Linked DNA regions of Solanum lycopersicum. Each later gene encodes a partner of the first gene's protein in a complex. Links are inferred from orthologs where the notes say so. Each region holds a gene or a part of one and is shown in the gene's direction. Other genes may lie near its edges. The genes, in order: serine/arginine-rich splicing factor SR45, serine/arginine-rich splicing factor SR34A and splicing factor U2af small subunit B.

Evidence for each region.
Region 2: serine/arginine-rich splicing factor SR45 (region 1) and serine/arginine-rich splicing factor SR34A share a complex: the UniProt entries of both Arabidopsis thaliana proteins name them as parts of the spliceosome. The link is inferred for Solanum lycopersicum from reciprocal best matches to the Arabidopsis thaliana genes SR45 and SR34a.
Region 3: serine/arginine-rich splicing factor SR45 (region 1) and splicing factor U2af small subunit B share a complex: the UniProt entries of both Arabidopsis thaliana proteins name them as parts of the spliceosome. The link is inferred for Solanum lycopersicum from reciprocal best matches to the Arabidopsis thaliana genes SR45 and ATU2AF35A.

The regions. Positions count from the first base shown.
Region 1 is NC_090809.1:751,287-755,383, reverse strand, and holds the start of serine/arginine-rich splicing factor SR45, read left to right. Parts: upstream 1-1,249; 5' UTR 1,250-1,349; coding exon 1,350-1,582; intron 1,583-2,764; coding exon 2,765-2,839; intron 2,840-3,330; coding exon 3,331-3,419; intron 3,420-4,097. UniProt on the Arabidopsis thaliana protein: Involved in 5' and 3' splicing site selection of introns, and may bridge the 5' and 3' components of the spliceosome. Isoform 1 is required during flower petal development and isoform 2 is involved in root growth.
Region 2 is NC_090802.1:49,075,742-49,080,109, reverse strand, and holds the start of serine/arginine-rich splicing factor SR34A, read left to right. Parts: upstream 1-1,500; 5' UTR 1,501-1,684; intron 1,685-3,157; 5' UTR 3,158-3,524; intron 3,525-3,668; 5' UTR 3,669-3,699; coding exon 3,700-3,786; intron 3,787-4,368. UniProt on the Arabidopsis thaliana protein: Probably involved in intron recognition and spliceosome assembly.
Region 3 is NC_090810.1:58,042,252-58,046,464, forward strand, and holds the start of splicing factor U2af small subunit B, read left to right. Parts: upstream 1-1,344; 5' UTR 1,345-1,526; coding exon 1,527-1,763; intron 1,764-3,762; coding exon 3,763-3,849; intron 3,850-3,929; coding exon 3,930-4,011; intron 4,012-4,213. UniProt on the Arabidopsis thaliana protein: Necessary for the splicing of pre-mRNA. Probably active at the 3' splice sites.

The DNA.
Region 1 (4,097 bases):
CAACTCTGTGTTTGAGCTGATACGGGAACTTCTCTACGAGAAATATACTTGTACAGCTCTGTATGTGCTTTGATTATACTACTTCTGAACTTCGTGAGCTTCATCTGTTATAAGCCTAAAGTACGCGTGGTGTTAAGACCTTGTTCATTTTCGCTCAACCAGAGTAAGGACATTCGAGTCATTGCCTCTTGTTGCTGTCCCTGCTTTGATTGTTATCTGTATGTCATACATAGTCCACATTAAGGAAACAATGTATATATAATGGCTAGTTTACTGATCTTTGTTGTGAGCCATAATTTGCTGTGTGGTGGCTGGCATTAAGTAATGGTTTCCTATAGCTCAAATTACATCCTTTTTAGGATGTCATTTCCTCAAAAAAAAGTCTCTCAACTATCTCAAACTCTTCGACTTTATATTACTTGTTGTATACATTAACCTTTACTTTGAAGTTTCATGTTCAAATCAAATTTTTTTTCTATCTGTTCAAATCTTAATGAATATAGTTGATAATTATTGATCGAGATATGCGCAACATTATTAAAGTGGTATTAGTCCAAATGCAAACAAATAATTTGTCTAAATGTGTACGAACTAGAATTAGAAAATCAAAATGGCAAGTGTATTAGGAAATTTAGTATGTGTATAGTCATTTGTTAATTAATAATTCTTTATTTAGTATGGTTTTAAGTTTATGTATGATTGATCTATGTTATTTAGTATTATATGGTATATAACTAAATAATACTCTTTCTGTTTTAAAAAAAAAGGCCTTTAACTAGGAACGGAGTTTAAGAAAAAAAAAATTTAATGTTGTGATTCTAAATTAAAATTATGTCAAATGTATCAAAATGCCCTTTAATCTTGTGGTTTTAAATATACCACGTGAAAAGTTAAAATTAAAGTGTTACTAAAAAAGGAAAGGGGTTATTCTTTTTGAAACAGACTAAAAAAGAAACAGGGACATTTTTTTTGAAATAGAGAAAGTAGTAAATTATCGTATTAGTTATACAAAAACTATTTATACATAAATAAACATGATTAAGAACAGAATTGCTGTTAGTATATTTAATCAAATTATAATTAAAAATATATCTAAATATTACTAATCCAATTATTACAATATCTAAATATTACTAATCCAATTATTACAAAATATTTTACTAAACGATCAATGTATACTCTATCAAACGACTCGTAAGTCCCAGTGAATACTCTTTGGGGATACAGCCCACTTCGGCCCATTTGTTTTTCGGGGCTAGAAGCTGATAACCTTTTTGCCCAAATGTACTCTGTCGACAGTTCTCTGTTATTAGGGTTTATCACTGGGGTTTCGGAGTAAGCTGTTGCCAATGGCGAAACCAGGTCGAGGCCGTGCGGCTTCACCGTCAGGCTCGTCTTCTCGTTCCCGGTCTCGTTCCCGTTCCCGGTCTCGCTCTTACACTCCTTCAAACTCTCGCTCCTCAAGTTCGCGTTCTCCATCTCGATCTAGATCCCGCTCCAGATCAATTTCTTCATCTTCCTCTGCTTCCCGGAGTGCAAGTTCTCGCAGCCCTAGTCGTCGCCCTCCATCTCAACGAAAAAGGTTTTTACTCTCTCTTTCAAATGTGTATTAGTTGCATAATGCATTTCTGTAGTAATTTCCCGCTTTTTCTTTTTTATTACGTGATACTGGTAGTTTGAGATTCGTATGCCATCAGAATGTCTGATGTCGGAGAGTTAACTTGCAAACTATAGAGGAGAAATAAGCCCAAATATGCTTTAACTTCTTTGAATTGAGGTGAAGTAGTTGCTGCTGTTGGTTAATGTGCTTATGGCTGCTTGAATTATGTTAGATTTGCGAGGTTTATGACATAGAAAAGTCTTATGGTTGAAGTAGAGTCGGGCACAAGTAGCACCAAGTCGCATTAAAATTGCTAGTTGCTGAATCTGAGTCTGATTGTCGTCTGGTTAGATATAGAATGGATATATGTTCTGTAGTTTTGCATCTCAAACATTATATAGGTCAAGAGGCTATTTTTGCTATGTAATTCATAGTTGTTCCATACCTTTCCACTGTCTGAAGAGTGTTAAGCTGTGTCCTCTAATTCCTGGGCCATGTGACATAATTCTCTGCTGCACTTCGCTTCTGCAAGTGCAGATAGCTTATATTTGATAATTTATGGCATTTCCTGCTGCTTTTCTTAAGTTATTCCAACATGCAAGTAGCAAAACTAGAATATTGGTTGCATCGGTTTTGCTTTTCTTGCCTTTCTTCCATTTAGACAACAAGAAACTGATTTCAATCCTCCGCGACTGTATAAAATAGAGTTGGAAACACAACTCAAGGGTGTAACACAGTGGTGAAAGAAGTGGGCGAAAATCTTGGAGACCAAGTTTCAAATCCAACAGAGACAAAAGACATTATGTTATTTATTTCTTTCCATCTGTCTAAGCTAGATATCTAAGTATTGATAGACAGAGTCATCCGATACGTGAGGTAGCAGGTACTTGCTTGTGGAGAAGTTGAGGTAGGCACATGACTGGAATAGAAAACTGGAAACAAGATATACTATGGTTAATCTTGAAGATTGGCCTCTTTTTTGTCGTCATATATTTTTGTTTATTTGTTATTGAGCTTAGACAGGTTGGACTAGCATGAAAATTTCTTGAAATGTTGCTGTTCTATTAGTTTTCTATCTTGCAAAATAGCTAAAGTACTTCACCAATCGTCCTATTTCTGAATGATCCTAAACCCTATCCTTTATTGTTTATATGGTTTTGTTAGCCCTGCTGGAGTATCTAAGCGAGGCCGCTCGCCGCCACCACCACCAGAGTCTAAGAAAGCTTCTCCACCTCCAAGGTAATGTTGTTTGTTTTTAAGCTGAGATTCGACTTTGGTTTATTCATTGAATAACTACTTATAAACCTCTTCCAATAACATCCAAATTTCTGTTTTTTTTGGGGGGGGGGATACCTTTCTTTTCTTGGTTTGTTTTTCTCCTCTTCCAAATGAAATTAACATACAGTAGGGTGCTGGGTTATTGTGAGCTATTTTGAATGTGGACTCAGTTGCATTTATCAGATCTTTTTTTGGAGAATGCATTGCAGCTGGACACGATTGTTCATAAATGATTTCGAATGCTCTTCAATTCCTTTCCATCCCAATTACTCAGACATGCGTGCTGTTGGTGCAACATTCAGTTATGCATCACATCCATTTTGGATGCAGTTGATAAAGATAGTTACTAATACCAATATCTTCTGATGATGCAAAAATGTTACTGCATGTAGCACTTCTGACATATGCATTGATAGGCTTTTTGATGTGTAACACTTGGGATCTGATTCCAGGAAAGTATCTCCTATACCTGAGTCGCGTGTAATTCATGTGGATCAACTCAGCAGGAATGTCAATGAAAACCATTTGAAAGAAATATTTGGTATGTTCTGCACTTCTTTTTGATTAGGTGAAGTTTATTTTGCCTGAGTTGTAGAAATTCTACACTAAGCTAGGGTTGTAACTGTCAACTGATAACCCAACAGCCCGTCCAGGGTAAATAGCCCATTATATCAGGTCCATACAGAAGAACCTAACAGAACTGAAATTCGGTTTGGTATTTGGTACTTCAACAAGTGAAGAGTCTAAAACCAAAGAATTGAACGCCAACTTCTAGTTCATTACTGTGAAATGGTCCAACCTTTTGGTTATAGATTCTATTTATTCTGTTTATTTAGCCTGGTTATATGTCAGACGTTCTAGTCTAATCCTGTTATTATGAGTTAGTTGACGAGCACAAACACACTATAGATTTAGCGCTTCATGTTCTCAAAAAAAAAAAAGAACTATAGATCTAGCGCTTCACTAGTCAAAGATAGTATAGCATAAAGATCGTCTCCACAGAGATTGGTACAAATAATAATTCAATCAAATCTTGCTAATTGTTATTTAGGAGATCAAGAGAAGAGAGTTGGTTGTGGTTATTAACCATGACTATAGACTATTTGTAACTTTAAGCAATTGGTAAATACCATGCTTAATAACAATTATAGAAGATAGGGTACAAAATGGAACAGGTGCATAATGATAGCTGGAATTCTATCGTATTTGATCACATCTA
Region 2 (4,368 bases), on another chromosome or scaffold:
TTATTTTGATGTACTAAAAATAATATGAATCGCATGATTTCTAAAAGTAATTATTTGGTTACACAAATACCGTCAATAATACAATGAAAAGAATGTGTAAAAAATTTTGAGAGACAATTATATATTTAACCATGCTAGTACATTCATCATAAATTCTTGCGTAACTGACACAATTCATTATGTACTCTGTCTGTCCAACGATAGTTGTGTACTATTGACTTGGCACACCTATAAAGAAACTATAAATAGAAAGACAATTTTACTATACCACCCTTTGAATATAACAATGTCTTGAAAAAATGTTATAGGAAAATAATTACAATTGATAATAAGGATAACTTAAAAACTATATGTAAAATGATTCAAGGATTATATAAAGTGGACAAGTATCGCGACATCTATTTTTAGTACACTGGACAAGATTGAAGGAAGAAATTATTAATTATGCATAACATATTACTAAATAAAGTACACAAAAAGTGAAAATTATACCCAAACAAGATATTTAATATACACAAAGCTAATTCATGCATTATTTTTATAATACATCCTATCAAACAACGTGTGTATTGGTCGATTCAATTCAATTTTATGTATTATCAATTTGATTTTATCGATTTTAGATATGCTAAAACCAACTTCGTTTTACGATTTATCAGTTTTGATCCTTAACGGCTGAGTATTCGATTTAACCAATAAAAAATGCTTGTAAAACAAATATGACTTCTTTAACAATAATGTAACTTGTTAAATGCTCATAAAATATAAACAATAACAACTAACATGAAAAGATTATACAAGTGTAATACAAAGAGAAGTTAAGAGGAAAGAAATTTACTTTAGATTTTGACGTTTTGTATAATGTGAAGTTGTCCATTCAAAATCACTCTCAAGAGTAAATAGAATGCAAAATGACAAAGATAGTAACTATTCTCTTGTCCTAATTATTTGTCCACGTTTTATTTTATAGCTATTCCTAATTACTTATCCAGTTTGACAAATCAAGAATGAACATTTTTTTTTATCTATACCTCAATGAAATGACTAATTAATTTGAAAAGTGTAATTTTTTTTTATCCACTTCATAATTAATAGGGGTAAAATGATAAATTCATTACGTCATGAATTATTTTCTTAATATGTGTGTCATTTTTAAACTGGACAACTAAATATTGACCGAGAGAGTACTAACTAGTGATGCATTGATATTAATATTTAATATTTTATGTACGATAAAATAGTAAATTACTGTAGTCTTATGAGTTATTAATTTATCAAATAATCCAATATTCAAAAATCAAAATTAATCCGATAAATCAATATTTTTTTTTATTATACCATTAGAAAACTGTCAATCTAATAAATAACACAATAATAACCAATCAATAATATATTTTTTAATTTTAATTTATCGATCGATTTGATTTTTGCACAGAGAAAACTGAGATTCCAAATGGGAACTTGTGTAAATAAATCAAAGCTGAAGGGTTAAAAAGAGCTAAAATAAAAATCAAGGGAACAGATCCTACTCTGTTGGGTTTTATAACCAGAAAAAAGCCCTAAAATTAAGAACTCTCTGGAAGAAGTGCAGCACAGCACCAGGAGAGAGAACCCGACAAGAACCGGAGAAGAAGTTGAACATCAATTTCATCTGAATTTCGCCGAGCCCTAATTGAAATTCCAGGTAATATTTAGAAGATTTTTTTCTCACAGCTCTGTTCTAAGATAAGGGCACATTTGTTAATTTCTAAGAAGGGTCGAGGGTGGAAGAAACCCTAGTTACGCATCTGTAAAAATCTTACCGAATTTAGCTATTTCTGTATTTTCTGGATGTTCTGTGTTGCGAATTGATCGTTTTCTGTTTGTGGCAGAAATGGGTTCATTTCGTAATCCCAGGGTTTGTTTTAGCCTGGGTGTTGCTTCTCATTGTTCGTTGGCTTTTGCTAGAAAAGATCGAACTTTTATGGGTCATATTTGTGATGTTTCTTGTGTTACATAACAGTGTGATAGTTTTTTTTTTATCAGTGAAATTCTTACTTCAATAGCGTTTTTCCCTTCAGAGAGCTGCAACCATCATATCTGGAAGAAAATACTAGCAATAGTGGAATAAAAAGATGAATTTCTAATCGTGTAATAAGAAAATTCGGTATTCTTGGTATGGCAGAGAATATTTTATGGAATAGTTTTTTTACTCATTGAATCGTTCTCCAATGTTTATTTCCTCAATGGTTGAAAATTCACCACCAAAAGGGTGAAAACAACTTACGTCATTTTCCATTACGAATATTCTGAATCTCACTCTGTATCACTTGATTCATCCAACACATAAGGTTCGTTGTCAACTTTAATATACAAATATCTCAGCAAAATACCATCCTCCATCTTTTATGATTGCCGGGGTGGAGCCACATTACAGTTGACGGGTTTGGTAGGTTTGGCCCACATCATGTACTTTATATTCAAATTTTCTTTTAATATGTATGCATTATTTATCTAGCCTTGGTGGACAGAGTTACCGGTACCTGTTACTTGTTGCTGGTGGGGGTGGCAGTTATCCGTGGAATTAGTCGAGGTGCGAGAAAGCTGGCCAGGACACCATGTTCATCAAAAAGAAAATAAATTTATCCCGATTCCATTCTCTTCATTCTCAAAATAAATAAATAATTTATCTAGAACCCTTTTAGAAGATGCGGATGCCTTTTGTAAAATTCAGAATCTATAAATTCAATCCTAGCGCGTTTAATGATCGCCATATGATCCTGTTTTTAATCCAACCATATATTGAAAAACTATTTGGACGATGATCTGCCAAAGTAAATTCTTTTTTGCTGAAAATATGCTGCTTCATATCCAATTCGCATCTTTGTAGTCTCCACAGTTCAAAGTTCAAACAATGTTTTACTGACCATTGGTAACCTAAAAATCTTTTTCTTTTTGAGAATTGGTGACTTAGAGATCTTATCGAATCTTAGGTTAAGGGAAATAACATCAGTTGCACTAAACTGGTTTTATGTTAAACTTAAACAGGAAAGGTATATATTGCATGCCTTGTAGGATAATTTCTCAGTGATCTTTAAAATAATTAAGAAAAGGGAAAATGCATTAGTATGTCGCGATCTCACCTCATCTTATGACATAAATGCTTTCTTTATGATAGATTTCAAGCGCTTGGAACAAAAATGAGCTTTGGAATCATACATAGGGATGTATTTGGGGGAGTGGGACAAGTCAGGGTGGAGTATTTGGGTTTTATGTATAGTTGGAGGTTCTTCCTCACTCTCAGAAGAGCTATCATCTGCAAAAATTTTGAGTGGATGAGGAGATCAAATATTAGTTCAAATAATTTTTGCTTGTGGAGCATCTTGGAGCATATGAGCAATGGAGCTTGTGGAGCATTAGCTTAACTTGGGATATTTCTCTTGGTTTCATAATTTTTCTGTTTGAATCTATAATTTTGGAGCATCATGGAGCATTTGAGCAATGGAGCTTGTGGAGTACAGCTCAATTGAAGGATTGCTCTCTTGGTTTGCTTCAGAATTTTTCTGCTCGATTCTGTTATCATCAAGTCAAATACAGAATGATATAAATTTATCCATAATTGTTTAATTATTTCTCTTCAGTGTTTAGTGGAATCATGAAAATTGTTTATAAGTTACATCTGTTTGCAGTTTTCTGTGAATCCTCCCTTCATTGCTGAGAATGAGTGGCCGCTTTTCACGCTCAATCTACGTTGGCAACCTACCAGCAGATATAAAGGAACTGGAAGTTGAAGATCTGTTCTACAAGGTCTGTCACATTCACTTATTTAAACACTTAGCTGCAAAGGCTTATTTTCTTGTGGAGAAGTTAGTTATTATCAATCGTAATTATCTCCTAGGGCTCTGGATTCAACCTTCAATGCATAAGTTATACTTGTAAACAACAAAAAAACAACAGCCTCGCATCATTATAAAAAAAAAAACAAACAGCCTCACCCGAGATTATATTGCAGATGAATGCATTCCTAGATATGCTTGTTCCCTGAGTTTCATTACAATGCCATCTGTATAATGGATTTTTTTGATTTGCCTCTTATATGTGAAATTTTAGAACAAGAAAGCCTAAGTGTAGTTTCATAAGAGAATCTGTTGCAGTACTAGTATCAATATTAGGTTGTGGTTGAAAACAAAGTTTGATGGTGAGGGAGGCTTCTTCTCTGGTATCTTGCACTGCATGCTCCTTGCCTCTTATTTTTCCTATTTTAGATTCGGTCTTTCTTCCATACTTGCTACTCTAGGCTTTAGGCAGTGGTGCTCAATACCACTAGTATTCTGTTTACCCGATTGAGGAGAGTAAACAGTTGGGAGGCATCGATTTGGAAGCATTCAG
Region 3 (4,213 bases), on another chromosome or scaffold:
GTTAATCGTTTGATTCAATTTAGAAAAAGTAAAAACCAAAGAGGAGTAGCTTTTATATACTCCAACATCGACTTCTTGTATAATGATCTGAACTCATCGGATGTTGTTGTTGGTAGAGAAATAATAAAAGTTATACATTAATTGGTCTATCTAATATATAAATGAGAAAATTATACATAATGACAAATTATTAAATTATATGTAATGATACAATCACATTTTGATTTTTATTGTGCATGTAACAAACTGTTTGTCGGTTACTTCTTTTCTTCAAACTCTCGCTCGCCACTCTCCCTCTCTTGCTTCATCTCTCGCTCGCTCCTCTCACTTTTTTATACAAACACAAGTATATAAAATACGTTTGTGTTTGTATAAAACGAGAAAAAATTGTATATATACATATATTTTTGTTACCCTCTCCCAGATCTCGCTCGCCACCCTCGCCTCTATCGCTTATACAAATAGAAATGAAATGTATAAATTGTGTTTCTGTTTGTAAAAGCGAGAGAAAATTGTATATACACATGCAAATACATATATATTCATCCTATATACACTGATAATTATACAATACAAATATTCCACTGCCTAATTTTCTTTTGTCTTTCTCGTTTTAAACATACACAAATTATACAATTGATTTGTGTATAACTGCTTTCTTTTGTTTATGTATAGCAAATTATACAATCGATTTCATTGTATATGTATAGTGAATTATATATGTATAACGAAATATAAAATATTATGTTTTCTATGGAGCACAATTATACAAATTTTACTATAGCATACAAATATGGATTTTGTGTTTGCTATATGTGAAGATTGCTCTATATAAAACATAACAAAATTTGCATACTCAAACATTAACTTCTCATCCAATGACCTGAACTCAATGAATGTCGAGAAATAAAAAAAAAGTTATACACTAATCAATCTATTCAATATAATAAAAAAAAAGAAGTAGCTTTTACGTACTCCAACACTGGCTTCTCGTCCAACGACTTGAACCCATTGAATGTCGTCGTGCTCACCAGAGAAACAAAAAAAAAGGTATGGTGACCATGGGGTCGAATATAAAACGTAACATAAAAAGCAATAACTTTTACGTACTCCATCACTGATTTCTCATTGCCCACCGAAAAGATGAAAAAAAGGTATGGTGACCATGGGGTGAGGGGCGAATATAAAACGTAACATAAAAGGAGTAGCTTTTACGTATTCCAACGACCTAAAACCATCGAATGTTGTCGTACTCAGCGGAAAAATTAAAAAAAAAGGATATGGTGGCTGTGGGGTTCGAACCCACGCGCACTTATGTGCAGAAGATCTTAAGTCTTCCCCCTTAACCACTCGGGCAAACCACCTGAACATTTACAAATTTCACTCTCAATTTATCTAATCACAAATTTTGTGTAGAATTATCTAGAAGCTTCTTCATCGTATATAGTCCCTCTTCATCTTCATCTTCATCTTCTTCTTCTCTACAATTCCAGAAGAAGAGAACTTTCCAGAATCTCAAATTGGTAATGGCAGAACACTTAGCTTCAATTTTCGGTACCGAAAAAGATAGAGTGAATTGCCCTTTCTACTTCAAGATCGGTGCTTGTAGACATGGAGATCGATGTTCCAGGCTCCACACGAAACCCAGTATTAGTCCGACGATTCTCCTCTCAAATATGTATCAAAGACCTGATTCAATTACCCCTGGTGTTGATGCTCAAGGCAATCCTATTGATCCTCGCAAAATCCAGGAACATTTTGAGGTATACCCATTAAGTAATTCTGCTGTAAATTACTGTTTTTGTTACGATTTGACATGGTTTATGATATGATTGCTTCTTTTGGGATATACCCAGTTAGTTTTTTCTGCTTTGTTGCTACAATTTGTTTGTTTCATGAAAAAAGACCTTTGTTTTAGGTGTTTTAGTATGAACCATAGATGAGTTTTGTGTGTTTTATGATATGGTTGCTTCTTTTTGAGGTATACCCAATTAGTTTTTTCTGCTTTTCATGCCCATCATGTTGCCTGGATTGACATGTTTTATGATATGATTGCTTCTTTTTGAGGTATACCCAGTTAGGTTTTTCTGCTTTACTTGTCTGTTGTTGCTACATTTTGTTTGTTTCATAAATAAAGAACTTTGCTTTAGGTGTTTTGTGTTTTATGAGATGATTGCTTCTTTTTGAGGTATACCCAGTTAGTTTTTTCTGATTTTACTTGTCTATTGTATTGACTACTGTTGGTATTATAGTAAGGAATGATAGTGCATTTGATATGTTGTATGATACAATTGCTTCTTCTGGAGGTATACCCAAATGGTTTATTTCTGATTTACTTGTCTATTTTATTGATTATTGTTGCTACAATTTGCTTATTTCAGGAAAAAGACCTTTGTTTTAGGTGTTTTAGTATGAGTGATAATGAATTTTGTGTGTCATATGATATGATTGCTTCTTTAGAAGGTAGTTAAGTTCTTCTGCTTTACTTGTCTGTTTTATTGGGTCATTGTTGCCTCTATATATGTGTGCTTCATGAAAAAAAGAGACTGTTATTGTAGAGGTATTATAGTATGAATGATCCGTGATTCGACATATTTTATGATATGATTGCTTCTTTTGGGGTATACCCAGTTAGATGCTTCTTTTTTCTTTTTTTTTTTGTGGTTGAAACTGGTAACTAGTTAGGTGCTTCTGTTTTATCGATCATTATTGCCACTATTTGTGTGTTTCGTGTAAAATGATCATGGATTTGATATGTTTTATGATATGATTGCTTTACTTTGAGGTGTACCCAGTTAAGTTCTTCTGTCTTATTGATCATTGTTGCCACTATTTCTGTGTTCCGTGTAAAAGAAACCTGTTGTTGTAGGAATTATAGTAAGGAATGATCATGAATTTGATATGTTATATGATATGATTGCTTCCCTTCAAGATTTAGCCAGTTAAGTTCTGCTTTACTTGTCTGTTTTATTGGTCATTCTTGCTAGTATTTGTGCAATTCATGGAAAAAAATGGAATTTTGTGAAAGATATTGTAGTATGCATGGTCGGGAATTTTGTGTGTTTTGTGATATTGACTGCTTCTTTTGAGGTATGCCCAATTGTTTTTTCTTCGTTACTTGTCTATTTTATTGGTCATAGTTGCCACTATTTGTGCATTTCATGAAAGAAAAGACTGTTGTGTAGAGGTATTATAATGATCCATGATTTGACATGTTCTATGGTATGAAATATGACTGGTTATTTTTAGGTATACCCAGTTAGGTCCTTGTGCTTTATCGATCATTATGGCCACTATTTGTTTGTTCCGTGTAAAAAGCCGTTGTTGTGGGTTTTTTAGCAAGGAATGATCTTGGATATGACATGCTCTATGATATAATTGCTTCTTTCAAGGTATACCTAGTTGTGTCTTCTATTTTATATATTGATCATTGTTGCGACCATTTGTGTGTTCCATGTAAAAAGATCGTTCTTGTAGGTATTATAGTAAGGATTAAGGAATGATCTTGGATTTGACATGTTTTATGATATGATTGCTTCTTTTGAGTAAGCTTTATGTTGAATTGGAATTGAAGCAGGGCATTGCTTTTTAGTGGTCCATAATGCTCCCTCCACCCTGAAATAGTTTTTTGCTAAGGTATTACTTATTTTGGGATGAAGGGCGTAGTAGTTAGCAAATAGCTTTGCACTTTGTGTTCTTAGAAAATATATGAGATGTAACCAATTGGATATTTGAGATATGACTTGTATGGTACTGTGGCAGGATTTTTATGAAGACTTGTTTGAAGAACTGAACAAGTATGGAGAGATTGAGAGCCTGAATATTTGTGACAATCTGGCTGATCACATGGTAGGTTTTTTGTGCTTTCTTGTAGTCATCCATTGACTGTGACTGGGGGTTTCAACTATGTATTAATGTACCCTGTGCAGGTTGGTAATGTTTATGTTCAGTTTAGTGAGGAAGAGCAGGCTGCAAATGCACTGAAGAATCTTACTGGGAGATTCTATGCCGGTAAGTTTCTATTCTTTCAAACCATATCAGTGATAAAATATTTGAATAGAGGACAAAAGAATTCAAAATGGTGAAAGAACGTGTCATGTATGAATTTTATTATCTGGACCAGGTTCATAACTACATACAACCAAGAGTGTTCAATTGAACACCCTTCGCTGGAAATTATGTTGTGTGTAATATAGGTGATAGAACTGCTAAG